Arabidopsis thaliana: one gene and its partners. The protein of the gene in region 1 interacts with the protein of each later gene in a pairwise test. Each region holds a gene or a part of one and is shown on either strand. Other genes may lie near its edges.

Region 1 (7,886 bases):
CTCCGTGATAACGATGAACCAAAACCGTGGTGTGTTGGGCCTTTGTGTTTGGTAAATCCTCCAAAACCGGAGAGTGATAAACCGGATTGGATTCATTGGTTGGACCGGAAACTAGAGGAAAGATGTCCGGTTATGTATGTGGCGTTTGGAACGCAGGCTGAGATATCGAACGAGCAGCTCAAGGAAATAGCATTAGGGTTGGAAGATTCCAAGGTACGTTAAAGAATGGATTAATGCCAACTTAAAACCTCATATTAATACAGTTGACCAATCACTTTTATTATTCCACCAAATTCCATGCATGTCCTTTTATTTGTTTTTGGTATCAACCCATAAAACATTTTTTAGTCTATATATATATATATAAAGAAAAGTATTGTTTTGTGAATTTACGTGGTCTTGATTGTTTTAAAAAGGTCAATTTCTTGTGGGTCACGAGAAAGGACTTGGAAGAAGTAACTGGAGGATTAGGGTTCGAAAAGAGAGTGAAAGAGCATGGGATGATTGTGAGAGATTGGGTAGACCAATGGGAGATATTGTCACATAAAAGTGTCAAAGGGTTTTTGAGTCATTGTGGATGGAACTCGGCGCAAGAGAGTATTTGCGCTGGGGTTCCACTACTCGCTTGGCCAATGATGGCAGAGCAGCCACTCAATGCGAAGTTGGTAGTGGAGGAGCTAAAGATCGGAGTAAGAATCGAAACAGAAGATGTAAGTGTGAAAGGATTCGTGACAAGAGAAGAACTTAGTCGAAAGGTACCGTATATATACCCTTTCATGTTTCCATCTTTTGTTTTAATTGGTGTCATGCATATATTAGAATAAAATGTTTTGAATATGGTAATCATGGCTTTGCTTTTTGACTAACAAATTAACAAGAAGGAAGCCTCTTTTTCCGTTTGACTGTAGAGTACCCCTTGATTGTATTTATTATTTGTACTATTTAGGTTAAACAATTGATGGAGGGAGAGATGGGGAAGACAACGATGAAGAATGTAAAAGAGTATGCGAAAATGGCGAAAAAAGCTATGGCTCAAGGGACTGGTTCGTCTTGGAAGAGTTTGGATTCGCTTCTGGAAGAGCTTTGTAAGAGTAGAGAGCCAGACGGTGTTAATAAGTTGTCAAGTTCTGATGCTTAGAGAGATTAAGGATTGGATAACAAAACGGCTTCGTACCTAATTTTAGTCATTAAATATGTTAGGTTTGTTGAAAAGTTGGTCCATTCTTCTCAATTGGATATGAATGACTAATTTGGAGTTCTAATTCTTGGTTTTGGTCTTATAGTTTCAAAAAATTTCAATTGCATTCAGTGGTTGCTTTATGAGATTTTTGCTATCTTTGAGGTTAATATTGGCTGGTCAATCCGAAGAAGCTATCAACACCTTAGTGTTCTTCTGAAAGACTTAAAAATGAGTTTGTATGCAAAAGTAGTATCTACTATGAGAAGAAATCAGACTATATAACATTGAGACAGTTTAAGAACAATGTATTTTTACTCTACACTCGTTTTCTATATCTAACATCCTCAAACCGAAACGAAAAGAAAAGAAAAATTACAAGTTGAAATAATTAAGGGAGTTTCCTAACTATTTACCATCTAAAACCAAACAGTTCACACAAAAGTTTTTTGCCCATAATGACTACACTTTAAACGTCTTCTTTATCTATAGAGAAATCAGGCTCATCTGGTTTGAATAGTTGAGGCATCTTCAAACTGGTGGAAGATCCATCTTTCTTACCAGTACTACTACTTGAAGCCTTTTGATTTGTTCCTCTTCTCGTGTTCGCCGCAAATTTAGATGCTAAGATCGTTGCTCCCAGATTTGTGTTGTCCATTGATCCGCCTTCCTCGTCACTTCCATAGTAATACTCTCTAGTTTCTTCGTCTTCTTCATTGTAACCTGTTTCATCCGGGTAATAGTATCCGCTACTCTCGTGAAGGCTGAGCTCTTTCGCAAGCTTTCTTCGCTTGTATCTTCTCCATGCAGATTGGACAAAACATGCTCCCCATGCTCTCCATTGATGTGAGTAGTACCTGAAAGCGTGTTGAAGCTTTTTGCTTTGAAGACGTTTGAACTGATGAGCAACAAACTTAAGATCCTCTGCGCTTAATGCAAAGGCTTCTACTTCAGAGAGGGCACGGACGCTTCGTGTTGAAGACGGAAGATTGAGTGTAGAGTTTGGCATTAAGGCCCATGTAAGAAGTTCTTCCCCACAGAAATCGCCAGGTCGTAGAGTAGTGGAGTTGAAGAAACCAGATCTTCCTCCATTTGTTGTTGAGCTCTCTATTTGTCCTCGGATCACAAATAGCATCTCATTCACCGGATCACCTTCACGGAATATGTATGTCCCGGCCGTGCTTAAAGATGAGACAAGGCATCCGCATATAGCATCAAGAAGTTGATCATCCATTTGAGAGAAGAACGGGACCTGCACTTACCACAACAATGTGACTTCTGAATTGAAAAACAATCAAATCCATAACAGTTTTTGATGACTGAGTTGATGTATGTACCCGGCGAACAAGGGAGAGACAAAGATGACGTTGGATTTCACGGCGTAAATCTGTAGGTAATGAATGGAGGATTGATTCTTCATCGACACCTCTGGTTGCAAGCCATTTGTATTGGACAAATCTTCGGACACGTTCTTGAAGCTCTGGAGGTAGTTGACGATGTCTCATCCATTCTTCAGTGTCTCTTCTCTTAACTCTCCATTCCTCAACTCTTACTGACATCGATTGCAGAGAAGACTTTCCACCAAATTAAAAATCATGAAGTCTATTGTTAGAAAGACAAAAAAATGTCTCTGTATTGAAAAGTTTTGCAGAGTGATGCATAAGCTCTGAATCTTACTTGCATGTTACCAATCAGGAGTGTGAAGAGAATCAACCCAAAAATACAAATTGTTATACAGAACAAGGTCTCGCCAAGGTATACACTTGTGGTTATATTCTGTCCATAAGAACTGTGAAACAAAACCTTTATTAAAACCAAAGGAGGACAATTTAAGCAGATACTGGTTAGATAAAAGGTTGTCATACCTTAGATTTCTTAAACCCCACCAAAGACAATACAAGTACTTGGACACAAAATCTGTTGTAGCAACTTGAGTGGTAAAGGCTTCAGCAAACATTCCGAATTTGAAATTGGTAGTGCTGCTTGTAGCATCACAATGAGAAAGGACCTGAGTAACGTTCTGCCAATACTGGCGCTCTGGTTGTTCTAAACTCTTGCAATCCAAGAAGCTAGGAAGACAATCCAAAACTCTCAAAGCGTTGTCTTTCTTGCATACGTTGGACCAGCACGAAAACTGCCGCCCGATTGATGACAGATACCACATTGCTCCTAACACCTGCCCACAAATAGAGATTCTTAGCAACTTAAAACTGAAGAAACCTAAAGATTTGAAAAAACACACAAGATAAAGAAAACTTACGTGACTAGCAAGGATGTACAATAGGAGGTTGTATGCAGCTCCTGCCCAAGCAGTCTTGGCGATAAACCCGGTTGTTTTGATAATCCTTTGGTTGAGTGGGAATATGATGAATGATCTTGGAATGTATTGAACAAGAACGATAAGTGCGAGAGTGCTATTGGCATGATTAGCAGTTCCATTTGTGGCCGCTGGAATTACTAGCCAAATAACAAGCTGAGATCAAAAGATAGTCAGAAACAAAGCATGAGGCTCCCAAAATATCTCTGTTCTTTAATCTTCTAGCTACCGCCTAACGATTTTTGAACATTGATCTTAGCTAATCGTAATCCATATCATTGCTTTCACATTCAAAATAAGAGCAAAATCTTAAGAACCTGAGGAAGGGGAAGCATGGCGGCGACATCAATGAGGAAATCTGTCTTCAAGTATCTCATAGCAATCTCTCTAGAATCCATAACAAGCTCACCGCGACCAAAAACACGAGAACTCCTCGCGACGAACGCAGTTCTGAATTTCATGAAAATGTGCAAGAGGTGGAAGATATCGGCGACTGTACGGAAGAAAGTGACAGTAGCGGCGAGGCTGATGTCGATGGAGAGACACGCCGGACCACCGACGTAAGGGACGTAGAAATAGAAAGGATCGAGGAAGAGAGCGAGGATTGAGGTAATGAGAAAGACGTGGTTCCAATAGGTGACGATGTTGCTGTCCGGGTCCAGGATCTGATGCCGCCATAGGACGCTGAATTGGCTACCGTCAGATCCTCGATTTGAGGCGGCGGTGGAGGCGGAGGTTATGGTCTCCGGGAGGAGGCAGCGGAGAGACCGGATTTTATTCATCTTCCATGGCGGATTCCGGTGTTAAATCGGATTCCGCATTAACACAGAGAGAGATTGAGATTGATGGACAGAGAGGCTAGGTGGTTGCGTCGTGTGATTTTTTGTTTTTTTGGGTTTTTGCATTTTGTTTTTGATGATTATGGAAGAAGGAGAGGATTTCTCGCGGGAAAACTGAGAGAAGGGCCATGGAAATAGGGGGAAGGGTAGTTTTTGAAAATATGATGGGAGAATGAGGGTATTTACGGAATGTTATAGTTGCGGGTCTCGTTTGTTTATGCTGTTTTTGTGTTCTCAAAACAGCACACGTTTTGCATCTCAAAACTTCAATCGACACAATATCTACTGTTCTTAGTTGTTGGACCCACCGGCCCAATAGTTATAGATCGGCCCAATAGTTATTTTTTTCTACTTTTTTTCTATGAAAATCAAAGGGATATATACTATATATGCTTTAGGATTTTAAAATTACACATTATAATGTATACAATTGCTATGATCATTTCTATTGATAAACTAATAATGTTTTTAGTAGTTTTAACTTAAAGTCCGGTTTAATATTGTTTAGTTCAATTGTTCAAAGAATAAAAAAAAAAATTATAATTAATTCGTAAAACCATGATAAGATTAGTTAAAATATCTAATTCGTTATGAGGTTCATTAGAATTTATTTAAGTGAATTATTGAAGTTTTATGAGCTACATTTATTATATTTTGTCAACACATTAAACCCGTAATTCAATTATACTGTCTTTTGTAGTATTTCCGTTTTTGACATCAGTTTAACAAATTGTCTTACATAATTCATTTGTTGTTGTTATGTACTATTAAAAGTATATAGAAGCACGCGTACCAAACATTCTGTGACAATATGTGGTAGTGGGAAGATAGTGTACATGCTTGTTGACACCATCCATAAGATAGTGTACCTATAAAATAACAAAAAGGGAATAGAAATCCTTAGAAACAATTATGCGAATATAAAAGGGATAATAAGAAGTGAGAATAATAAAATGAATACTGAAATTAAAAATTACGTCACGGAAAAATGATGTTTATCCACACAAAAAGAACAACAACTTCCATCATATCATATAGAGGGACATACTAACTTTTCCACTTCCAAAAAATCACACTTATGCGTAATTGTTTTCTCTAACAATAATGACGTATTTTAGTCCTTCAAATTTTAGTACTCCATCATTTTCCGATTAGACACAAAGTAGTAATTTCAATATAAAAAATTAATAACAAGCTTTTATAAATGATTATGATAACTTATACTAACATATGTGACAATATTGTTTTCTCTATGCTTGTTAAACGTAATTAAGAAACAATGATGTTAATTACTCCAACTAATTCATGGATCTAGAAATACGATGTTGGTTAAACATTATTATCGACTAATTTATTACTTCGTTAATGGCTGCTATTAAGTATGACCACGTGTGGCAGATTTGAGATGTTTAGCGATCTTTAAATATAGAATCCGACGGGATCCAATTCTCCTCTTTTTTTTTTATTCCACTTTGCCACTGTGATTATATAATAAGTATGATTAATTAAGAGATTTACATTCTATTGATTTACTTTATTATTTTATTCATGTGGAGTAGACTATACGACAACTACTTTATCGTTACTTTTTAATTTTATTTTTTAGTGAAAATTTGCTAGTCAAGTTTAGAAAATTCAAAATAGCATTTCACTTTTATATGCACGATTGATTTCGTTGCTTATATTAAGATAAGGAAAACAAATGTTACTCTTCCTAAAAAAATTGTTCTTTGAGAATACAATTTACGTGTTCCTCTTTTCAATAAAGTCGCTGGTGTTTATGAAACACACATTAGAAAGAAAAAAAAAAGATTTAAAACATTTATGAAGATGGCAAAGGTTCCCACTTCCCATTGTAGGAAGCAACAAATTTCCTTTTTGTTTGATTAATATAAATGCTTACGGGACGCAAGAAGAAATTTCGTGATCGTGAACATATTAATCATTTGGGACCCTAATGAAAAAGACTAATAAAATCTTTTGTTTTATCGAATAAAAAGTAGATTGTAGTTTTGTGAAGTTTAAAGCACTCGCTTATCAATTGTTTTATCTAAAGAAATAAGATAAGCTGCTTTCAAAGTGGTAAGAGTTAGGTCTTGATAAAAAAAAAGTCTTGAAGGTGGTGCCACACCAAAATCCTTGCACCTTTCTATTACATACACACGTGTATAGAGATTTTTAGTCATATCTTTGAATAAATAATCTTTGGATATATGTATAGTGAATAATTTGTGGGTTTGAGAGTTGGAGAGGATGAACTACAGGTCACGTAATATACCCTAAAATAAACCATCACGAAAGAATAGAATAGAGAATCTCTTGGTACTATCAAACAAACAATAAAAAAAAAAAAAAGTAAAAGTGACGAAGACACCAATCTATTCATTTCCCACCCATCTCCCATTAATATTTCTTTCATCTCTTATTATTTTTTACATGCATATTTTTCTATCTCTAACCTTTTGTTTTTGGTTCACTCAAAATTTGTGGTACTTTGATCCACATATAATATTTGCATATGTTAGTACGGTCTTATATAATAGCCATGTGATAGTAAACCCTTTCACAACATACAGTAAATATACCTAGTATATATAGTTTCAACGGTTCAAGATTCAAAATATCGTCTTAAACAGCGACCAGATATTCTTGAACCTCCAAAACGATCTAATTTTAATAAATTGGTGAATGAAATCGATTTATTAGTTTAAGCTTTTAAAATCGGTTTTGATCAATCAAATCGGCCTAGTGTGAAAAAACAGAAATTTTTCTATTTTCTTTTTTTTTTTTTTTTTTTTTTTGCAGCGAATCTATAATACATGTAAAATTAACTAGTGTGAAAAAATGTTACAAAGATCTTACGTGAATTTCGACACAATCACCTATATATAGTCAAAAATGAATTTTGATATAATAATACTAATATACTTAACCATATAAAAAGATTTGCACATTCTTCCATAACAAAGAAGGCCCCACTAATTTTCTTAAGGAGTATGTTATTTTGCAGTTATATTTGTGGCAGTTATCTTAATCATTCTTTCATATGTTTTGTCTGTGTGTTTCCTCTCTCTCTCTCTCTTTGTGGTTCTTGATTTTGTTGGCCAAACCTTTTCCTTTGTACCTTCAATGCCATTAATCACAAACCCAAAGAATCCATAGAGAAAAAGTTCCTAACGTCAATCGAATTAAATTCCCCACTTTTCCACAAAAACTAAATCGCATCTTTTGAAGTTTCTCATCTCCCAAAAATGTTATTCCTTTGATCTTTAGATACAAAACCCATTCAATGGATCTCGAGCGTCTAAGCCCAAGAAATCCAGTTAAGGTATAAAATTCTCAATATTCAATTCCATAATCCTTTCTTTCTTTTAGTTGCTTAAATTGGTAATGGTTTTTGCAGAAAGAATCTTGGTGGACGGTTCTGACATTAGCTTACCAAAGCTTAGGTGTAGTCTACGGAGATTTAGCAACTTCACCATTGTATGTCTACAAGAGCACTTTTGCTGAAGACATAACACATTCTGAGACAAACGAAGAGATCTTTGGTGTT
Region 2 (7,194 bases), on another chromosome or scaffold:
AAGCATTTGATTAAGGCATATAAGTTAAGAAAATGGGGTTATTATCATGTTATATCACTAATAAGCTCGTATATTCCAAAGTTTAATGACAAATGTAATGGTCCCAGGCTTTGACGTTTGACAAATGACAACCAACGGTCCCATGATTTTTGCGAACAGTGTTTTTTTTTTTTAAACGTTGATATGGAAAGAGATTCGTCGTCTTTGACCTCTAACATTTACAAGGTGTATTAATGTTGCAAATAGAGGTAGTTGGAAAATAACACTATTATCAAATGAATTAAGGTTGATAGGTTTGAGCAGGCTTACTCGAAATTGGGTATTTTAGGCTTAACTCGAAATTGAGTATTTTAGGCACTGATCACTTGGCCAGTCCCACATGCAAGTTACGGACAATAAAGCCCGACGTCTGAGAAACAAATTGTAACAAAGAATAAATCGAATTTCAACTAGAATTTGTTATTTCGGAAGAAGAATTTAACTTGCTGATATTATTTTGTTAGGCTCAATGTATATATTTTATAAAAAGTTTTTTTATTAAGAAAAATGATCTTATATGAGAAAACTAAAAGGTGTAGGGACCACTAGCATGCCAAAAATGTAATAATCAATGGCGTTAAGCATCAAATATTTTTTCCTCTATACAACTCCTATCTTTATCAGTTATCATCTACTTATCCTTATCAGCTTCGTCACGTTTGGCTTTTTGGTGTCACTAACTTATGAAAAAGTTTTATTATATTATATTATTACTAGCTGCAAAATGTATTAGAATAGGCTATAACTCAACGAATTGCAATTATTTGGATCGGACTACCGTATCGTGTGTTTTTTTAGTCCACAGTTCCACACCTTATTCGAGTATAGCTTTTCGAAAACACCCTGGCTGAACCTATATAGTTTATGCATAATTCATAAATGATTGATTCTTCAGATGAGAAAGAATCTTCTAATGATTTTTACGAAAACACATGATTAAATTGAAGAAGCTCGAAATTAGACTCGGGAGCCGTCCATGCCACTTGTCTTAAGGTTTTGTAACACATCACATGTCATTTTTTCTTGGGGACAATGAATCTCATGACAAACGAAGAAAGAAAGCTAGTGAGAATATATTGCGTAATGGTCAAGCTCAAATATATATTCGATTTTAATGTGCTTTATATAATATATGCAGAGAGCATCGTAAATACTTTGCTTAATCAAAAATTTCTGTTAACTTTTTTCTTCTTGTATTGACTTGCTTGAACTTTAAAAGTAGTGACAACGTAGCAAACGGATCTCGTTGTTCAGCTTTGATTTGATCAATTAAAGTGCTTGCAATTGCGTTTGAGTTTTGCATTACGAAATCAACAACTTTAAAGGTTTGCTTTAGAATTTGCGATTTTGACAAAAAAGATTATAATATACAATCTTCTGGTACTTTTCAAAAGGAAAATTTAGAACACTTTTACTCAAGTCTCAAGTTAGTGAGTATCCTCGCATCTAAATGATTTAGTTTCTTCTAATGATCGAACAATTTCTCGAGAGCACCATCTAAATCTGAATACATTTAGTTGGAATGAATCATATTTGATCTAAAACACATGGTTTAAATTTCTGCAAGACCGCAACCAGACTCAGACATATCATGATTTAATGAAATTTACTTTAATTCTTAAATTAGAAGTTCTGAAATAGCATTAAATACAAAGTAGCAACCTAAACCTTACTATTCGTAGACTGTTTACTCACTCAGTCAATAAACATTTGAACCGTTTAACTAATTATGCATTAGCTCTCATAGAACAAAAGACCAAAAATCTATAAACATGCATATATACACGAATACGAATCAATGTTGAGAATCTATAGTTTAAGTAGTAGTCGACACTAAGAACATGAAGATGAAGAAGCTTCTTAAAGTTGTGTTTCTCTTGGTCGCTTACTTAACTTGTTCCATTGCCATGGCTAGTTACCATGGTTGTAACAGGGTTGCAGAGAAGGCAACGAGAATGAATGTAGTCGGAGAAGATTCAAGAAATGAGTTTGGAAACTACGAGGAGAAGAAGAAGAAGGCGAATTTGTGGTCAGGTCGAAAGTTAGCTTCTGGTCCAAGTCGTAGAGGTTGTGGCCACTAAATTTTTAGTTGGGGTAATAATTTAAGATATTTAATTTCATTTCTCTAATTTATGTTTGTTGGTATCGTTTAGTAATATGAGTATTTTAGTGGGTTCTTATAACCTAATGAAAGGATTTGAATATTCATACGAATTTCGCTTCACTATAAAATATATGTGACTAAAGATTTTTAATTGCGTTCATTTCATTGTGTAAAAAGAACAAAATGCCCCCTGTTTTCATTTGCTTTACCCTCTATATCTTCAATCCGATAAGTAGCTCTCTGTTTTCGCATCACGGCATCTAATGACGTAATGACAAAAACTTAAAAACCTTAACCAAGAAAAAAAATCAAAAGTGTTTATTTGTATAATAGATATTAGGTTTTGAAGTGATTAACGTAAAAGTGAAGAAACGGAAGGGGAAACTGGAGAAGGGCAAGGCCTGGTTTTTAGGCTAATTGATCTGTATGTCAAAACTCCGATTATGGCTCCGATCACCGGAGCTGTCATGTAAATCCATAAGTCTTCAAAATCCCATGCCACCACCGCCGGTCCAAGTGATCGAGCTGGGTTCATCGATCCTCCTGAAATCGGTCTAACCATACCATATTCCACAAAACGTTAGCATTATACGATCACATGAAATAACTATTTTCCAATACTTTACGGTGATAATGGAGTTTTAAGTTAAGTACCCGGTAATAAGCACTCCAAGGGAAATGACTGTTCCAATCACGAACCCCGTCAAATTACCCAACTGCACAAAATAACATATAAAATTAAATGCATATAAGTTTTCTAATCAGAGAGTTTGATTTTTTTTATTTTCTCTTTGGAAAGAAATAAAATTTCATAATTAAGAAATAGCATGTAAATGTCACATTTTAGGTGTTATTCTTATTAGAAGATATTTTTTTATAACAAGCGGACTAGAGGAGTAACGAAGATCGATTTGGTCACTTACATTTTGATGAGGACCACAATGCAACGCGGAGGCGAGAAACACGACGATGCTCGTAGCTATGAGTTCAACGAAAAATGCAGAAACGCAGCTTAAAGCAGGTTTTGTTGCCATAATGTCAGCGTTTACTCCGTACACTGACACCCCAACTAATGTTGCCGCCGTTGCCCCCAATGTTTGCGCCGTTATATACAACGGAACCTGGCATGTGACACAACATTCCAAAAAAGAATTTTCAGTTTTCATAAAAAATAATTTGTAAACGTCCAAACAAAAGATTAAGTTTTCTCGTCTCATCTTCGTTGATAAATGAAAAAAACACATTATTTGATCTTGGTCTAAACGCTAAGATAAACAAAAACAAACGATCAAGACCAAGATAATTCAACTACAATTCTTAGTTGGTCAAACGCCGTGTTGAGATGGATGCATTATACCTGAGACCACGGGAATCCGCCAAAGACAGCGAAAGCAATGGTGATGGAAGGGTTAAGATGGGCGCCAGAGATGTGTCCGATGGAGTAAACTACGACCACCACAGATAATCCAGCGGTGACGGCGTACTCTAGCAATCCCACGTGGCCGCCGGATAATTGGGTACTGCTTATGACCCCACACACACTGAACATTAGAATGAATGTCCCCACCAATTCCGCCATTACCTAAACATTAGTCCGGAGATACTATTAATTAGCATTTTATTTCTATACAAACATTTTAATATTTTCAAAAAAATTATTTGTAATTATGGACATAGCCAATTCTTTAGTTTAACACAAAAGTATTGTGAGATATTAATCTTGTTGATTCTATGATTTTGTGTATATATGAAGCTTACAATGCGTAGGGGATTGAGATCTATATCATAAGGGAGACATCCGAAAAGCCTTTGTCTCGAGGGATGATCTTCATCTCTCAAAGTAGATGGAGTTGAGCCAGCTTCTTGGTCGACTACTCTTGACCGTGCCTCACCATTCATCTTCTTAATTCCTTCAAGATATAGTGATCAAGAACTGAGGAAAGTCACAATCAAGGTGGCTTGATCCGCTTTATGAATGATCTAATGGAACAAAAAAAGAGAGATAGAGAGAAAAACGCAAAGAAGATGGAAATTAAAGAGTAATTATTTTATTTCAACAAAAAGAAGAATTAGTAGAGTGCTGCTATATTCCTTTGGTTAAGCAGTCTGAAAGGAGAAGAGGGTGCTCAACACTTTTCTTGTGTTCAATTTTCACTTCCTACCTACCAATATTTCTTAATGTTAATTTGGTGATTTCTAAGTCATCTATTTATTTTAATCATCTTCATTTCATGTGTAAAAAGGTTGACTCTCTTAAATCTTTTCACTTAAAAAAACAAACAAATTGTTGCACCAGCCGGGAATCGAACCCGGGTCTGTACCGTGGCAGGGTTCTATTCTACCACTAGACCACTGGTGCTTATTGATTCATCTATCCGAACTAAACTATTAAATATTAATTACGAATCTAGGGTTATTTATCTTTCTGATTAAGAGTTTTCGTCTGTACAAGTGGAATTTTGAAAAAAGAAGCAGAGAGCGATGGAGAAAGTGGTTGATCTCTTCGGAGTCGGAGAAGCTAATTCCCAGAAGCTACTCGAAGGAGGCAAAGATCTCAGCGAGATCCAACAGGTTTTCTTCGTTTCTCTTCTCTATCTATCCGTCTAATTTCACACTTGGAATTTCTCAGGTTTTGGAGTCTTTAATTCCGAAAAATCGTTTGTTGGATGAGTTTATTCTCAGGGATTGTTCATAGGATCAGTAGCTGAAGCGAATAACAAGGATTTTCTCAAAAGCTCTAATATCACTCATGTCTTAACCGTTGCTGTGGCCTTGGCTCCTCCTTATCCTGATGATTTTGTCTACAAAGTCATTGAAGGTTGGGTTTTTTTTCTTCAATCCTTAGCCTGTTTTTGAAATTTTTCGTTTAGAGATTTTATAAACTTGTTCTTCATCGTGTAGTGGTTGATAGATCCGAGACCGATTTGACAGTATATTTCGATGAGTGTTATAGCTTCATCGACCAAGCTATTCAATCTGGTGGTGGTGTTTTGGTTCATTGCTTCATGGGAATGTCTAGGAGGTTTTGATTCTTTTGCCCTTAAATCTCATACATTCAGTTATTAGATTTAGTGTTTAAGAATCATCAATGTGAACCAATTGCAAATTATGTAACCATATCAAAAAAGTGTATATAAATTGCCAACTGAGTAACCATAGGAAACTACAGAGACTCAGATTGGCAAAAGTGTATATGAATCTTGTAGTTTGCTTTGATTCTTTTATAGCTTGCTGATTCTGGTATTAGTAGGAGTTATGGTAGTGAACAGATTACATTTTGTTGTGGACAAATTAAGAGTTTTTCTTGAACCTGTAATTTGCTTATTGTGTCGTTCTGTTATATATATACTTACACAATTTGATTGGTTTGAGTTTTTCTTTGAAGTGTGACTATAGTGGTGGCTTACCTGATGAAAAAGCATGGAATGGGATTCTCTAAAGCTATGGAACTTGTAAGGAGCCGACGACATCAGGCATATCCTAATCCCGGTTTCATTTCGCAGCTCCAGCAATTTGAAAAATCCATCCAAGGTAATGCATGATTGCTTCAGCTGATAAGAAGATTCAAGATAGTGGCATGATGAACTCTCATGAAATTCCGGCAAGTGTCTTCAGCCCCATGTTGGCCAAAAAAGTTGATTGGTTTCGTGCTGTGAAGGATTTTTTCTTGTGAACTATTGATGGTGAGCACTTTGCCATGTCCATTAGCCAATTGAAATGAATGAAAACGCAGAATTTACATTTCCTCTGTTACTACAATGAATATATTTTCTAGGAGGATCAGTGTGAATTTAACCAAACCAATCCCATACCCAAACCAGACTGAAAATTGGTTGGTTTGGTTTTCGACCCTTGCATTGAATGTTAACCGATATCTTGATCGAACGTGAGTTTTTTTTTTTTTTTTTCTTGTTTCATTGCCTTGTCGATCAATATTGTATATAACGTGATAGACCATGAACAAATTGAATATCGAAGTAGGAGTTAGATTTCTTTACTCGTAATTAAATGGGGCATGCACCTTGCATGTCTTATACGTATTGTAGCCTAACATTTGCGGCTACAAACATTTGTCACCAACATTTTCATTCCAGCTGCTTCCACAGTTTTGGGACTTCGGAGATAATGTATATGTGGATATGCATATATGAACCATAAAAATAAACGTTTGTCCAAACAAAACCACAAATAGAAGTGTTATCCAAGTGGGTTTGTTTCATAGAAAAAATATTGTCACTATAGCAATTTTTTTGGTTAGGTTAAACCTTATTTAATGAAGTTTGTAATATGAATTGAGATATTGTTAACTTTGCAAAACAGAGCCGAAATTTTACGAATATCTCTTTATTAAAAATAAATAATATAATTTAAGAATACTTCTCGGGAGGAATCTTAATGAGCCGTCCAGGTAGCTGAACAACTGAACTTTATCTTTGCTCCAAAGGTTATATCAATTTATGTTTTCTTGTAGAACCTATATTTCATGCAAAAAGTTATCCATTAACCAATGGAAATTGGTTCCGACTAGTGATCAAGGAAAATGATGGAATCATCACGAATGAGAAATTTGTGGTATTAAATGACATAGTGATTAAGGAAAACAAAAAGTTGTAATTCAACTACAAACTATGTCGTAACTATTTATATTTTGTTACTTGTCAATGTTGTCATTTATCTTACAAAGTCAATAGGATAGAAGATGTGAAACATAATTACACAAAAACGATGTCATATAGAAACATGCGAAATCACATAATCATTTCATCACTTCGAAATTTCGTAGATTTCCAATCAGATACTACCCAATATGTTTGCTAATAGTAAGTAGTAAAAAACATATGTTACGCCAAAAAAAACGGCTTTTGATGTACTTATTTTCCTTCATCGATCCATGAAAACTGTAAAACATCTCAATACAAACTAAACCTTTCCACCAGTATATGTCCGATTCAATGTTTTTTTACTTTGTGTATGTATCAGTGTATTATCTGTTAATAAAGAGTAAAAGAAATCCATTTTTTCTTGTGAGGACACGCGGTAATTAAGAACAA
Region 3 (8,644 bases), on another chromosome or scaffold:
GGGAAGATCTCAGACGTATATTCGTTCCATGTATTGATTTTAAGATCTACGAGCTTCGTCAGAGACTCGCGACGCTGAGGCAAGGTGGTGACTCTGTGGCGGAGTATTTTGGGAAATTGAGTAAGGCTTGGCTGGAGTTGAAGGCGTATGATCCTGTGCAGGAGTGTAAGTGCGGTGGTTGCGATTGCGAGAGTGAGAAACGAGCTACAGAGGCGAGAGAGAAAGAGCAGCGTTACGCGTTTCTGATGGGTTTGAACAAAGAGTTTGACTATGTGAAAATGAAAGTCATGCACAAGAAGATTCCTCCGTCTGTTTACCAAGCTTATGAGATGGTTGTGTATTCAGAAGCGATGATGAAGTGGAAAATGGGAGGAAGAATTTAGGAATTTGCAGGTCCGTGATTTTAACTTTTTATGCTTTTATAGTGTTTCTTTTTGAAGTGTTTTCGTGTTTTTTGAATCCATATTGGTACATTATCAATGTCATATGGAATTAGATTCGTCAACTGAAATTTTGCATAAGAGCTCTAAATTTGGTTATTTGACTACTGGTTAGTATAACAACTATAGATGATGCACAAAATATTCTCTCAATACATAATTTGATGAGGCAATTACAAAGAAGTAGGATTCATGTTTTACAAACAAAAGACATGTGTGAATTTGTCAGAGCTCCGATGTCCAATATTCTTGATGCTGTCATAACTACGGCTACTGGTATCTCCCTGTGTTGATAATATTCGAACACCGAGCAAGTGTTCAATCTCCCTTGTCTCAGGATACTGATTATGTTTTAATTGTTTTGACTTTCAAGGTCTCTAACTCTGCAGCTACTTCGTTCATCCTTGGCCTTTCCTGTACCCTCAATCGCAAACTTCATATTCTCCTTCTCTTTTTCTCTCTAAATTGGTTTCTCTCATCTCTCCAAAGCATCTGCTTCTTAAATATAAGAAAACACACTCCATTCTTGAGATGTTCTCTTGACTTGGTTCCGTTGACTTGTCCCCACTTTCTCCTACATTAAGGTCCTTAAAGAAAAACACATTACAAAGAGGCAATAGTTTCAACATGTTCGGGTGAGATAGAGACGCAGATATCGTGTATGAGTCATTGAGTCCACATCGGCGACAAAACTCTTTCTCGTCTGCAATTCCATGGAGCCTAACTCTTCTGATGTCTTTTTTCCTACATTGTACTAGAAAATGAAGAAGGGTTGAAGAATGGGTGGGAGAGATTTTGGGGCAAAAATGATTTCACCAGCCTTGTTGGTGCCAGGAGAAGTCATATTGACCAAAGGGAAAGGAAGCTCAAATGTTTGCTTGGACCAACATGTTTCTTGACATTCTCTAGTATCCACAAATCAAAACTAGAGAAGCTTAAAGGGTTTCTAGCAATGGAAGCTAACTTCCCTTTGTATTCTATCAATATTGATTCACACTCCCGAACCAAAACATCCCTAGGCACTTTGATAAAACTTAGCCTCTCATATCTAACATGAAAACACACAATCACCATTCACCGGATCCATTCTTAGTCTAGGGGCCCAAGCACCATAATAGATGGAACCATAGATGCAAAGTCCCTTGGTTACACGGTAATAAGGAGCTTTGGTAAACTGATTACGTGTTTTTGATGTTTCTTGTCCTCCAAAACCAAGATACAGGTCATGTGAAGACACCAGGTTCAACGCTTTGATTAATGACCAACAAGATCATATCCCAATGATGCGCGGGGTCCTTTAATGGGTAAGGTAATCCCTGAAACTTTGGGCTAGGGAGGGGAAATACAAGGCCCATTAAGCCCAACTGTTTACAAAAAATTGCGACTTTTCTTATTTTGGAAAATTATTTCTTTATTTGAGACTAAAAAAGTCAAAATCGAAAGGGATACAAAGCAAGCCCTAGGATTTGGAAGCAGAGAGAGACTCTCAGAGCAGCGACGACAATGGCGGAAACTATCAAGAGCGTATCTCCAACATCAGACCCCGATTCACCGTATTATCTCCCTCCCGATATTCATCATCCCTCCGATTTCTCTATCCAAAAACTCAGCAAAGACGAAGACAACTACGTCGCCTGGAAAATTCGATTTCGCTCTTTCCTCCGAGTCACGAAAAAATTCGGGTTTATCGACGGTACTCTCCCGAAGCCAGACCCTTTCTCTCCGCTCTATCAGCCATGGGAACAATGCAACGCAATGGTTATGTATTGGCTGATGAATTCGATGACCGATAAGCTTCTAGAATCTGTTATGTACGCGGAGACTGCTCATAAAATGTGGGAAGATCTCAGACGTGTATTCGTTCCTTGTGTTGATTTGAAGATTTATCAGCTTCGTCGGAGACTCGCGACGCTCAGGCAAGGTGGTGACTCTGTTGAGGAGTATTTTGGGAAATTGAGTAAAGTTTGGATGGAGTTGTCGGAGTATGCTCCTATACCGGAGTGTAAATGCGGTGGTTGCAATTGCGAGTGTACTAAACGAGCTGAAGAGGCGAGAGAGAAGGAGCAGCGTTACGAGTTTTTGATGGGGTTGAAGTTGAACCAAGGCTTCGAGGCTGTGACGACAAAAATCATGTTCCAGAAACCTCCTCCGTCACTTCACGAAGCTTTCGCTATGGTCAAAGATGCAGAATCGATGATGAAGTGGTACAGTAGATGAAGAATTTAGGAAGCAGGTTTATGATCATAACTTTTCTCTTCTTTGCCTATGTTTTTTTTTGGGATTCTAGTGTTTCTTATTGAGATGTGTTTGAAGCTATATCTGTATATTATCAATCTCATATGGAATTAGATTTTTATGAACTAAAATTTAACACAAGAGTTTTAAATTTGCCAATAACCAGATCGGTTACTGGTTAGTATACCAAGTAAAGGAAAATATGAACATGATTATTGATGATGTACAAACAAATCTGTCAAAGCATTATTGATGAAGCAACAAGGAAATGACTTTCTTTTTTTACAAACAAAAGATATACATGTGATTTTGTCAGAGCATTAATATCAACGGCCAGCTTCAATGTCCAATGTTGTTACATTTCTGATGCTGTCATAGCCAATGCTGCTACTGGTTTCGCCTTGTGCTGACAAGATTTGAACGCCGAGCAAGTGTTCAATCTCCCCTGTCTCACGATACTGATCCGACCACTTATATTTAGTTGTTTTAACTCTCAAGGCCTCTAACTCTGCAGCTACTTCTTTCATCCTTGGCCTTTCCTCTCCCATTAGCCTTGTACACTCTGCAGCAATTCTTGCAGCTTCCTGGATCTCTCTCTGGTTATCCTCATTCATCACTTGCCCATCAATAATTTCATGGAACCTATTATTCTTTGTGGCAGAAGCAAAACAACTCACAAGATTTTTTGGGCAATGTGGTCTTTCGAAACACAATGCCTTTTGACCTGAGAGCAGTTCCATTAGGACGACCCCAAAACTATAAACATCGCTCTTTTCGTTTAACAACCCTGTGTTGTAATATTCTGGGTCTAGGTAACCTAGAGTGCCTTGCACTATTGTTGTGAGCTGCTCTTTATCCATCGGTATCAATCTTGATGCACCAAAGTCAGCTACTTTTGCAGTTAAGTTTTTATCCAGGAGAATATTAGCAGTCTTGATATCTCGGTGGATGATTGGAATAGAAGCAGAAGAGTGAAGATATGCAAGACTTCCTGCTACTTCTGTTGCTATCCTCAGACGGTGCTCCCATGTAAGTGAAGAATCATACAAGGAACCGTGCAAGTGATCGAAAAGGGTACCACTGTTAATGAACTCATAGACCAACAAGGGGACTTCTGTCTCTAAACAACACCCCAAGACCTTGACCACGTTCCTATGGTTGATTTGTGAAAGCACTAGCACTTCGTTGATGAACTGCTCTACTTGGCTACGGTTTCCAAGCCGAGCTTTCTTTATAGCAACTATGGAGTTGTCCGGCAATATCCCTTTGTACACTGTTCCTTGGCCTCCCTGACCCAGGATTCTGCTCTCATGGTAACCATTAGTTGCTTCCTTCATTCCTTTCTCAGTGAAGATTTTGACATCAACATTTGATGGCCCTGCTCCCGAGACTCGCTGTATCAACATGCCTCCACCATTTTGCTCGAAGAATTTTTGTCGGAGCTCTGTGTTCTTCCGGTGCTTAATTTTCTGTTGTAGACAGCTAATCCCAAGCATGATAACCGAGAAGCCGATGGTGGTTCCTGATCACATCACACCTAGGTAATTAGAGCTAGTTTTTTAAAAGGAAAGTATCCGAAACCAGTGAGGGGAACATACCAAGAAAAATTTGAGTCCATCTAAAGTATTCAGGCCTGACTTTACGAGTACAGCTATTAAGGGAATCTTTGCGGTAACCAGATGGGCAGTTACAGTTGAAGCTCCCCTTCGTGTTTTCACAGGTACTATGCTCCGAACAGTTATGTCTACTACTAATACATTCATTGATGTCTGGCCAAGGAAAAAGAGCATGTATGAAGTAAACGATTAAAAGAAGTGATAAAACAGAAAACAAGTTAAAGTACCTTGACAACCGTTTGGAAGGTATGGATTCCCCTCAAAACCTTCTAAACATTTGCAGTTATACCCGGTTCCACCAGTAGAATCGAAACATGTGCTGTTACCACCACACACGCCCCTGTATTCTACTTGTTTGCAAGTCTTGTCTCCGATAGACCAATCTAGTACTACAGGGAACGTAGTAACATTTCGCAGATTGTTGAGATCTTCCAAAGCATGGAAGTCAAACATACCATCTTCAACGAGAAAGGCGTAGGTGCAAGGATTAAACAGATGCACAGTAGGATGGTTGTGAAAGCTATGTGGTTTTACTCTGACAAAAGAGTATCCTCTAGGGACAGGGATCTGGCAGCAACCTTCACCAGAACATGATCCGTTTTTCGTTGTGGCAGAATCACATATTGATATGCATCCAGTTGAGTATTTTTCAACTCCAGATGTGCGGAGAAATGCGTAACTGTTACAACCTACTACAGTAAATCTGTTAAGTTCAGAGAGAGTGAAATTACCCAGGGTGGTCCGCTGGGCAATGTAGTCAGTCTGTTTTCCTTGACTATCGTAGCAAACTCTGGATCTAACTAGCCGAACACGAAGCTGGCCGCTGAGAGACATGTTGATGACTGGCATGTTGCCAAAGAAGAGCTTCTCTTGCTCGTTGCAAGTAAGATTGAAACTTTCATCTCCGGGATAGTAACAACCTGGAGAAGTACCAAAAGGGTACTCAACTGCGACATTGCCACATCTAGTTTGGCACTCCTTGCGAGGTTGCCCCTTGACTAGCTGCGTATAAGCAAGGTAGAAAACAGCCACCACGAACAAACCCTCCTGTACCTTCATCTTCTCTCTTTCTTTCTCTCTCACTCTTTTAACTTTGTTCCTGTTTTGAGTTTTCGCTAATCTCCTTTTTCTTATTAGAAACAACTGTATATGAAATGTTCTCTTCACTCATTTTCGCAGGCCCGCTCCCATTTTGTCATATAATGCAAGAAGACGAAAATTCAACTACACAACCAATGTAACCCATGAGGCGTGAAGAGGACGTTTGCTGCATATTCCTGTATAGTATTTAAACAGTGACAACTATAGGTCTTGGTCTTCTCGTCATTCTTGATATTTTTTTCGTTAGTGGGGAAACCGATTTAATTTTGTTAACAGTGACACTTATTTTCTTACTATTCAAAGATTAAGACAGTTGCAACTTGCAAGGAATCTTCAATTATGAAGACCCTCTTAAGTCAACTTCAGTCTCGGTCCTCTCTTCTTTTCTCGATATTACAAGGCAAATTTACTCTTTTTCTTAACAGTTAATTTCACGCTCAAAATATGAAAATTGCCTTTTAAAATGACGATATAGGAATTGAGACTCCTGAATCCTGATCACAACATGCTCTGTTTTCTTATGATGCTTTTATTACGACTTGTTTTTTTCCCCACATTTAGACATTTTGAGTCATAAAGCATTATGCCACCAAGATCAGACCCTCTTGCAACTTCATCTTCTCCTTCTCTCTTTGTCTCACTAAATTTGTTTCTCTTTGAGTTTTCTCTCATCTCTCCGTAGCATCTGCTTCTTAAAGCTAAGAAAACACACTCCATTCTTGATATGTTCTCTTGACTTGCTTCCGTTGACTAGTCCCCATTTTCCCAATAATTGCAGGAATCTGCAATAGTAAATATTATTTTACAGAGCCGGACCAATGAAATTCGGGCCATTTAAATTACGAAAACAAAGTACTTTTGTCTTTAAAACTATAGAGTAAATAGAAACCAATTTAAACAAAACTCTGAATTATTTATTTAATTGTATGTTAGATTTATAAATATTTTGGATCACACTATTATTTAAGATTAATATGTATAAAACTAACTATTTCTCCTATTAAAAATCAATATATATATATATGTATATTTAATTACAATAAAATTTCTGTGGGACCCTTTTAAAATGGGAGCCCCATTAGAATGTTTCATCTTCATGTGCTATGGTCCGCTCCAATATCCTTCTCTTACTTTTCTTGATTTCCAGGCAAATTATGTAGACCACCTTCACCTAACCCTTCTCTTCCCTGCTTTTTTATTTCCACTGTCTTTTAGAATTAGACCTATTGGTAGTTAAGACAAATGATAGTTAAGATTAGGTTTTCCAAAACTTCCACAATGGCTTAATCCTCATAGATAAACGAGCTTCTCGATGATTATCTGCAGCATACAGTTCAATGAAATCTTGTGCATATAATACCTTCTGAGCAAAAACAAACAAAACACTCAAAATATGAACAACAATAAAAAGAAATAACACATGTCAGAAAATGCAAATCATCAATGGTAAGATAAAAAACTAGTTTGCTTGATGTTGAAAAGCCAACGCTTATATATTGATTCAAAGAAGAAAAAAACAGAGTCTGTCAAGCTCTTACACATTAAGGTCCTTGAAGAAAAACAAGGTTCGGGTGAGATAGAGACGCACATATCGTGTATGAGTCCATTATGAAGAAGGAAAGTTGAAGAATGGGTGGTATACATTTTGGGGGAAATGATTTCACCAACCTTGTTGGTGCCAGGGAACTCATATCAACCAAAGGGAAGGGAAGATCAACTGTTTGCTTGGACCAATCATGTTTATTGACATCCTCTCTAGTATCCACAAATCAAAACGTTGGAAAGAAGCATATGCGTTTCTTGCAATCGACGCTAGCTTCCCTAGGGGCTTTGTTGGGCTCCGGAGGGAAACTCAAGGCCCATTAAGCCCAACTCTTTATCTTTTTTTTTTTTTTTTTTTCTCTTTCTCATTTTGAAAATGATTTGTTTAATGTTAGTCAAAATCGAAAGGGATAAAAAAGGGCAAGCCCTAGAGTTTTAGAAGCAGAGCTCAGTGACGACAATGGCGGAAACTATCAAGAGCGTATCTCCATTATCCGACCCCGATTCACCGTATTATCTCCCTCCAGATATTAATCAACCCTCCGATTTCTCTATCGAAAAACTCAGCGAAGCCGAAGACAACTACGTCATCTGGAAATTTCGATTTCGCTCTTTTCTCGAACTCACGAACAAAATCGGTTTCATTGACAGTACTCTCCCGCAGCCAGAACCTTCCTCGCCGCTCTATCATCCATGGAAACGATGCGACACAATAGTTAAGTATTGGCTGATGAATTTGATGAGCGAAGAGCTTGTAAAGTCTGTGATGTACGCGAAGACTGCTCATCAAGCGTGGGAAAATCTCAGACTTAGATTCGTTCCTTGCGTCGATTTGAAGATCTACCAGCTTCGTCGGAGGCTCGCGACGTTGAGGCAAGGTGGTGATTCTGTTGAGGAGTATTTTGGGAAACTGAGTAAAGTTTGGATGGAGTTGTCGGAGTATGCTCCTGTACCTGAGTGTAAGTGCGGTGGTTGCAATTGCGAGAGTACGAAACTAGCTAAAGAAGCGAGAGAGAAGGAGCAGCGTTACGAGTTTTTGATGGGGTTGAACAAAGAGTTTGAGGTTGTGAGGATAACAATCATGCTCAAGAAACCTCCTCCGCCACTTTACGAAGCTTACAATATGGTTAAAGGAGCAGAATTGACGATGAAGAGATACAGGAGATGAAGAATTTAGGAACCAGGTTCATGATCATAACTTTCTCTATATGTTATGCATTTCTTTTTGTAAAGATTCTAGTGTTTCTTATCTAGTTGTTTTTGATAACATCAATGTCATATGGAATAAGATTTATGAACTGATATTGGTAATCTGCTATTTTGCAAAAGAGTTTCTAAGTTTGCCTATAACCAGATTGGCTACTGGTTAGTATACCAATGGGAATTACAAACATGGTTATTGATGATTTATAAAAATTCTTTCAAATCATTATTAATGAAGCAAAGCATTATTGATGAAGCAACAAAGAGGTAGTTTTTTTTTTCTTACAAACAAAAGAAATACATGTGAATTTGTAATATCAGCGGCCAGTTTCAATGTCCAATATTGCTACATTCTTGATGCTGTCATAGCCAATGCTGCTACTGGTTTCGCCTTGTGCTGACAAGATGTGACCACCAATCAAGTGTTCATTCTCCTCAGGGTACTGATCCGACCACTTATGTTTGGTTTTTTCGACCCTCAAGGCTTCTAGCTTTGCAGCTACTTCT
Region 4 (6,724 bases), on another chromosome or scaffold:
ACATTACTTTGTATATGTACACCAATTTTTGCGACTCGTTTGTACTGTGTGCCTAACGTGAAAAAGATAAGGCATATATGGGCTTTAGCCCCAAAAAAACTTTATAGGCCCCATATTAAAATTATAGTGTATTTATTTTTCCAGAAATAGAAAATTTATTGTAACATGGAAACATCAAAATTTAAAATGGAATAGTTGCTAAAAATACTTGGGTTCACCCTTCACCCCCTTATATTCACCTCTTCTATTTTAATCAATTAAAATCTGACATTTAACAATAATAAAAAGAATTTAATTTTATTATAAAATCTAATTTGCCACTAAAACGAAATTATGTATCGGTTTGGATTTATTAGAAAAGGTTAGGGTTTAGATTTTATGATTAAACGAGGTTAAATATCGGTTTGGGTTTAGAAAGTACGATTAGGGTTTAGATTTTACAATTAACCAATTAAATATTGGTTTAGGTTTATAAACAGATTTAGATTTTACAATTAAACGAGGTTAAATGTCGGTTTGGGTTTTGAAAATACGATTAGGGTTTAGTTTTTTCTTACGATTAAATGAGTTTAAATGAAGGTTTGGGTTTACAAAGGAGAATTAGGGTTTAGATTTTGTAATTAAACGAGATTATATATCGGTTTAGATTTATAATTATAGCTTTAATTTATTATGTAATTTAAGTAAGATTTGACATGACATGTTTTTATTGGTTAATGCAAAAGGAGGTGAATAGAAGGGTGAATAAAGCTTCGTTCAATAGTTGTGGCATTAAATGTTTTGAAGTTTTGCACATTACTTAAAGCAATAAAATGTCTATTTTAGTATCCTTCAAAATAATTACATTTGTTATAAAATAATTACATTTCTTACAAGTAGGTACTAACAAAATCAATTTTTATCTCACACTAAATTTCTTAAATACATCCGATTTTTATTTAATAAGTTAAATCATGATTGTTTTTTTTAATTACACCTAAACCGCAATTTGTAAACCGGATTAGAGATTAACTAAACTTACATGTCCAAAACACTATTAATTATGGATTGATGGAACAAGAAAGATCTAGTATATCTAATAAGAATATCACCACATTAGGTAGGAGCTGATAATACAATTTTTGTTGGAGATGCCCAACCTAGAGATAGAAAAACATTTAATCCCTCTTAAAGCCCTTATTACTATGTGCAATGCAACACATATGGTTAAAAGATATTACGACATTATAATCGGAAGTTTGAACTAACACTCATTTTATCTCGTATTATAATCTTTGTCCCTATTCTGATTTCCTCTGTAATTGAAAGTATACTATATTTCATATTAGTGTAGTTACGATGGAGCATCATCATGGGTCAAATCCAAGCGACCACAAAGGATGTAACATGCATCTTACAGCTCACAGCCTCACACTATTTCGACTACCACCGACACTATCTTTATAGATACACGTGATTCCAACGTACCAATCACTCTTTTGAATGATCATCACATTTTTTTAGAATAAAACATATCAGATCCAACACAAGTGGAACAATTAATTATTCCAAATCTCCACACCAAGTATCAACGTGAACAAAAAAAAGAATATGTAAAATAAATTAAACCGACAGATCACAAAGAAAAAGGAAAACAAGATTCCCAAAGCGAGGTAAATGCCACGTCACTTCACATAAGCCAAACTCCGAAACAGAGCCCGACAATGGCCGTTACGACATTACTTGTTCGAGTAATCATCGCTGATACGGCGCCGTTTTTATCGTCAGCCACCTCAACATCATCATCTGACGGAGCATCGGCGCTAGGTCCGTCGGCGTCAGCCTCCGCGTTCTTAGGCTTTTTCTTACTCGACTTAGGAGCTGGAGCGGACGTCTTAACGGCCTTGTAGATTTCTCTAGGCAACAACACTTTATCGATCTTGTAAACTATCAATGGCTCTTGATCCTTTAACGTCCCCATTACCTTCGCCGTCACAACGTCCGTCTCCAGCGTCACGTCTTCTCCGTCATTTTGAACGGTGAAATCAAACTTGTTGTTACCTTCCGTCGCTAACGTGTTAACGGCGCCGTTACCTGATCTAAGCATTTGTAACGACTGGTAAACCGGCATGCCGTGGTAAAGCACTAACGCAGTCTTGTTCGCCGGAGAAAGGGATTTGAATTTCGGCATGAACTTACCGACAGCGCTGTCGGAGGGACAGAACACCGTTAAGCCTCCGTCTACGGTATCTTGGAACGTTTTGTCGGCGCCGGTTGACTTCAAGATGTCGGAGAAAGCTTTGCACCCTTGTTTTTCGAGGATTGTGGTGAGGATGAGGTCGCTGGGACTCGCCGTGGGAGCTTCTGCTTCCGGCGAGGTTAAGACTTGGCTGATGTGAAGAACAGAGATGTTGTAAGGCTTTTCAAAGACGGATTTGACGTAGTGAGCTGTGAGCTTGCTATCGTCGTCTTGGACACCAAAAGCGACTTTACCGCCTTTTATATCGGTGATGTTGATGTATCCAGAAGTTCCGGTGGCGGATCCGGTGGATTGAAACATGGAGGCAGTGGAGGTGGAGCCGTCGGTGATCTGGTGAAGTTTCTTGGTGCCGAAGTAATCGACCAGGACGTGGAGAGAGAGAATGTTGCGGATTTGGTAGAGTGAGTATCCGTTAGAGAGGATGGAGGACATTGCTGAGTTATCGACGGCCAAGACGGTGATTGTTTGCCGGCGGTTGATCTCGTCGGCGAGATGAGTCGCTGAGAGATAGTGGTTGAAAGTGGAGAAATCAGGGTCTTTGGCCAAGATTCGGGTTATGTTATGTGCATTTGAGAGAGAGAGAAAGAGATGGAGCTGGAAAATGAGAACCAATGCGGTGGCTGCTCGCCGGAGATAAGCCATTTTTGGGTGGAGGATTGGGCGGCTTTGATAGAGGAATTGTGTGGTAGCATTTGGAGAGGAGTCTTATAATAATGAAAGATATATAAAATAGATTATATGAACAAAGCTGTCTCGCATATTTCCAGCGCAGCAGCAGGTAAGTGGGCTCTACATAGCTTGAGTCTGGGTCACATTTGAAAGTAAGTGTCGACGAGAGAAACACATTAGTGTTTAGGAAATATTAAGGCCCGGTTCAATATTTTATTCGGCTCTAGGTACATACGTAGACATGACCAAAATTTAACTGTAACAGTATAGTATATTTTTATTTTTACCAATTTTAGGTATAATTTAAATACCTACAAAATTTAACTTTCATCTTCGTATTTCTATAAACGGGAAAGGTTGGATCCTATTGGAAAGTAAGAGACGACGATCGTGGGAGCTCTTGGAGACTTGGTTTTGCTTTTCGGTTTCTTGAAAGGCAAGATTTTCAAGTTAGCGTCGGTTGTGTTAACCCGTGAATCAGATTTTTGGACAAAGCAAGCCAAGAAGGGTGTGAAGAGAGACATGTTTGGAGTTGTAAAACTTAAGTGCGAGGTTTTCTATTAATTTGAATCTTGGCCTAAAGTCAGGCCGGTCCAAAACTAAAGCTTGTAAAGCATAATTATAAAAAAAATTAATGACATCATTTTACAAATATTTATAGTGGTAGAGTGGTTTTTAAACAAACCACTCCGCAACTGACCCTGATATAGCAATTGAGTAAACATATTTTCTGTTTGTACTATAATCGTTAGAATCAATACATGTTTTACTCAAAAGACGATTTGCCGTTGCAAATGTTATTAACACTGCATAAAACGAAGCAAATGATAAAACGATTACAAGATATGAGTAAGCATGTGAGTTTATAAGATATAATTTGCTGCTAAATATTTTATTTCATTTTCAATTAAGTAAGAAAGTTTTGACTAAAAAATAATATTTATATCAATAAATAGTTATTCTGTCTCTGTGCCACTGTATATACATAAACTTACCCAAAACAAAATCATCATTACAAAAAAGTGTCGACCACAAGCAGAATCTTTCATTGGTCTATTACATAGATAAACAAGATTGGACTGGATCAATAGTATCAGCCTCATATATTTTCTTGGTTGTGATCATAACTACAGAATTTCACTTTTATCCTTCCTACTTCCTAGTTCCTATAGACGAGAAAGGTTGGAGCCTACGGGAAAATAAGAGACGACGATAGTAGGAGTTCTTATGGACTCGGTTTTTCTTTTGGGTTTCTTCAAAGACAAGACTTCCAAATTACTGTCGGTTGTGTTAATCCTTGAACCAGATTTTGGAACAAAGCAAGCGAAGAAGAGCGTGAAGAGAGACATCCTTGGAGGTTTAAAACTTAAGTGTGAGTTCTTAAGTTAATTTGAGCTTACTATACATGTCAGATAATGTATATATAAGGGGATGGTGAAGAAAGTCACTGAATCTTCTTTGTACACGTCTCTTTTTTGGAAAGTGACATTATAACTTGGCGGCCAAGCTTAATAAGTGAATAGTTTCGTTGTCCGTTTTAATTATGCCTTTTGACAAGTCTTCGTACGTGAAGTTCAAGGACTTTTGACTCTTTATGTAAATCATTTGGAAGAAAGAGTCCACGCGATTATATGAATCCACTGACTGAATTTATTTCTGGGCTTAAGTTGGGCCTTAACAATCCATTTTTTTAATATTTGTTAGCCCAAAATACATAATCAACCCCTGGACTCTGGAGGGATCACACATCACCGTCACTTTTCTCAGTAGAAACTAAGCTGTTCAATTTCAAACCAAGATCACCAAATTTGATTCCCAATGCTAGACAAGAACTATAGAAGCTAAGCAACATGAAGAAAAGTGTGAGAAGGAGATCATGAGAATTTTCGTTTCCTCGATATGGCTGTTCTATTTGATGAGACATGAGAAACAGATAAGCCTTGCTTGTGTGCTTCAACCATTGAATACACCTGCACTCCAAAATTTGTTCCTTCTCAACCATCACATCCAAGGATAGTCTTTTAATATGTTGAAGACGAAAAGGAGGTACCTTTCTAACAGCTGATGTCAGTCCCAAGGTAGAAAGAACATCACTGCTCACACACTTCCATGTTAGAGTGTCCTTTGCCTGACCTTTGAACAGATCTTCGGTTCCGCCTGTAACTTCTTGTTAGTTTCTCTAACTATATGTAAAAAAGAGACCTAGAAAGAAAGAGATAGATAGTGGTCAAACCTGTAAGTTGTACAACTAATAGCTCCACATAAACTTTTCGACGAATGTGAGTGAATATGTGGACGAATTCTCCGAGTTCTTCTCTTGAAACTATAGTGCATGCTTTCTTGAGTTCTACATGAAAACGAAATGCTTCCTTAAGGTAGACGTTTATTGCGTTCCTCCTTGTTGCCGAATCAGCTTCCTCATTTAATATAACAGATGGGAACTCCCAAAGACCAGCAAGCAGACCTTGTTCGGGTCTTTTTACAAGAACAAATCTACCTCCTGATTGGTTCCTCTCCAGATTATGTATCTCCAAAACACAAACGCAACAAAAGTCGTGCCTTGGCTTGGCCTTGATTACTTTTGTAGGATAATCTGTCACGGAAATCGTTCTGTTTTCCTCGGAAAGTGAAAATGCACGACATTGGCTGGAAACAGGACAAGAAGAGCAACTTGGCTTTGATACAGTGCATAGTGTAGCACCAAGCTCCATCAGAGATTGGTTGAAATCTCCAGGGCGTGAAGGATCCACTAGCTGAGCAGCTAGTTTCCTGACAAAGATAAATGATTTCTTTATCCTCTCTTTTAGTATAGTCTCAATAGCGAAACATTCGAGCAAATACAAAAGTTATTTCACCAGAAATTCCTGGCCGTAAGTCGGTCTTTTGGATTAGCTGAGATGGCTTTTAATCTAGCAAGCACTCTTATCACATTTCCATCAACAACAGGTACTGCCTGGTTCATAATAAGTGTCAAAAGACGTAAAGATAATTACTTAGATGTCTTACATTGATGACTGAAAAAAATGAAACTGACTCACCTCATTGAAAGCAATTGAGGCAATTGCTCCGGCTGTGTACTGTCCTATTCCTTTAACTTTCATCAAGCTAGACGCTTGATTAGGGAAACCCTCCGTCCCTGCAACAACCATCTTTGCACCCTGTGAGAATCAAGACAAGAAGAAAAGATCACAATGATATTTAGTGAACGTATCAACTAGGATCAAACCCCAGATTGCAGAAGAGTATTTACCTCTAAAAGAAAACGTGCCCGCCGATAGTATCCCAAACCTGCCCACATTTCGTTTACCTCCTGCAGCGCGAAGAACTCAATTTGATTAGCAGTAAGAATCACTTTTTTCTCATTCCCCCTGAAGAAAACAAATCCCAATGGTGTGCATTGAAAAATAGAGACTAATAGAGTACTCATTTCCTTACTAATGATGGGAAAATGCAGAGCAAAACCTAAGAAGATTAAGCCTTTACTTCCCAGTTATTACACATCAAACATGATTCTCTAAAACCTTCTTTACAAAAAAAAAAACACAACCACATAGGGAATCAAATGGAACATTTGTAGGATATATTCTCAATCTCCCACAGAGTAAGATAGAAAACACAGACACTCTCTAGAAAAGAGCCAATTTGCCAAACAAAGACAAGCAAGCAACAACATAACACAAGAAAAGAAAGCTCTTTCTTCTAACACACTCACACACTCTTTACAAAGTAGCCCATTTGCCAAAACAATGACAAGCAACATAACCTAAGAAAAGAAAGCTCTCTTGATCTACTAACGATAAGATTCTGCAGAGCAAT

Evidence for each region.
Region 2: the proteins of CNGC18 (region 1) and NIP7;1 interact in a protein complementation assay, tested with the Arabidopsis thaliana proteins (one large-scale study listed by BioGRID).
Region 3: the proteins of CNGC18 (region 1) and WAK2 interact in a protein complementation assay, tested with the Arabidopsis thaliana proteins (one large-scale study listed by BioGRID).
Region 4: the proteins of CNGC18 (region 1) and FLA2 interact in a protein complementation assay, tested with the Arabidopsis thaliana proteins (one large-scale study listed by BioGRID).

What each region holds. Positions count from the first base shown.
Region 1 is NC_003076.8:4,806,622-4,814,507, forward strand, and holds CNGC18 (cyclic nucleotide-gated channel 18), read right to left. Parts: upstream 4,473-7,886; 5' UTR 4,277-4,472; coding exon 3,812-4,276; intron 3,651-3,811; coding exon 3,438-3,650; intron 3,354-3,437; coding exon 3,043-3,353; intron 2,967-3,042; coding exon 2,855-2,966; intron 2,752-2,854; coding exon 2,515-2,751; intron 2,430-2,514; coding exon 1,647-2,429; 3' UTR 1,470-1,646; downstream 1-1,469. Other genes in the region: AT5G14860 (UDP-Glycosyltransferase superfamily protein), read left to right, coding at 1-213, 417-755, 947-1,138; AT5G14880 (Potassium transporter family protein), read left to right, coding at 7,623-7,661, 7,737-7,886. UniProt on the Arabidopsis thaliana protein: Cyclic nucleotide-gated ion channel required for directional pollen tube growth into the transmitting tract. Acts as a Ca(2+)-permeable divalent cation-selective channel inhibited by either lanthanum or gadolinium.
Region 2 is NC_003074.8:1,838,893-1,846,086, forward strand, and holds NIP7;1 (NOD26-like intrinsic protein 7;1), read right to left. Parts: upstream 4,305-7,194; 5' UTR 4,043-4,304; coding exon 3,902-4,042; intron 3,820-3,901; exon of another isoform or gene 3,726-3,819; coding exon 3,501-3,725; intron 3,404-3,500; exon of another isoform or gene 3,388-3,403; coding exon of another isoform or gene 3,265-3,387; coding exon 3,067-3,264; intron 2,860-3,066; coding exon 2,798-2,859; intron 2,698-2,797; coding exon 2,496-2,697; 3' UTR 2,276-2,495; downstream 1-2,275. Other genes in the region: AT3G06090 (uncharacterized protein), read left to right, coding at 1,881-2,120; MKP2 (MAPK phosphatase 2), read left to right, coding at 4,625-4,714, 4,826-4,961, 5,045-5,165, 5,529-5,685. UniProt on the Arabidopsis thaliana protein: Aquaporins facilitate the transport of water and small neutral solutes across cell membranes.
Region 3 is NC_003070.9:7,441,703-7,450,346, reverse strand, and holds WAK2 (wall-associated kinase 2), read right to left. Parts: upstream 5,599-8,644; 5' UTR 5,351-5,598; coding exon 4,519-5,350; intron 4,445-4,518; coding exon 4,274-4,444; intron 4,198-4,273; coding exon 3,002-4,197; 3' UTR 2,658-3,001; coding exon of another isoform or gene 1,944-2,657; 3' UTR 1,864-1,943; downstream 1-1,863. Other genes in the region: AT1G21280 (Copia-like polyprotein/retrotransposon), read left to right, coding at 1,944-2,657; WAK1 (cell wall-associated kinase), read right to left, coding at 8,455-8,644. UniProt on the Arabidopsis thaliana protein: Serine/threonine-protein kinase that may function as a signaling receptor of extracellular matrix component. Binding to pectin may have significance in the control of cell expansion, morphogenesis and development.
Region 4 is NC_003075.7:7,489,929-7,496,652, forward strand, and holds FLA2 (FASCICLIN-like arabinogalactan 2), read right to left. Parts: upstream 3,153-6,724; 5' UTR 2,882-3,152; coding exon 1,670-2,881; 3' UTR 1,299-1,669; downstream 1-1,298. Other genes in the region: AT4G12731 (uncharacterized protein), read right to left, coding at 3,250-3,432; AT4G12735 (uncharacterized protein), read right to left, coding at 4,075-4,257; AT4G12740 (HhH-GPD base excision DNA repair family protein), read right to left, coding at 4,650-5,065, 5,142-5,677, 5,764-5,861, 5,947-6,066, 6,159-6,218, 6,261-6,276, 6,672-6,712. UniProt on the Arabidopsis thaliana protein: May be a cell surface adhesion protein.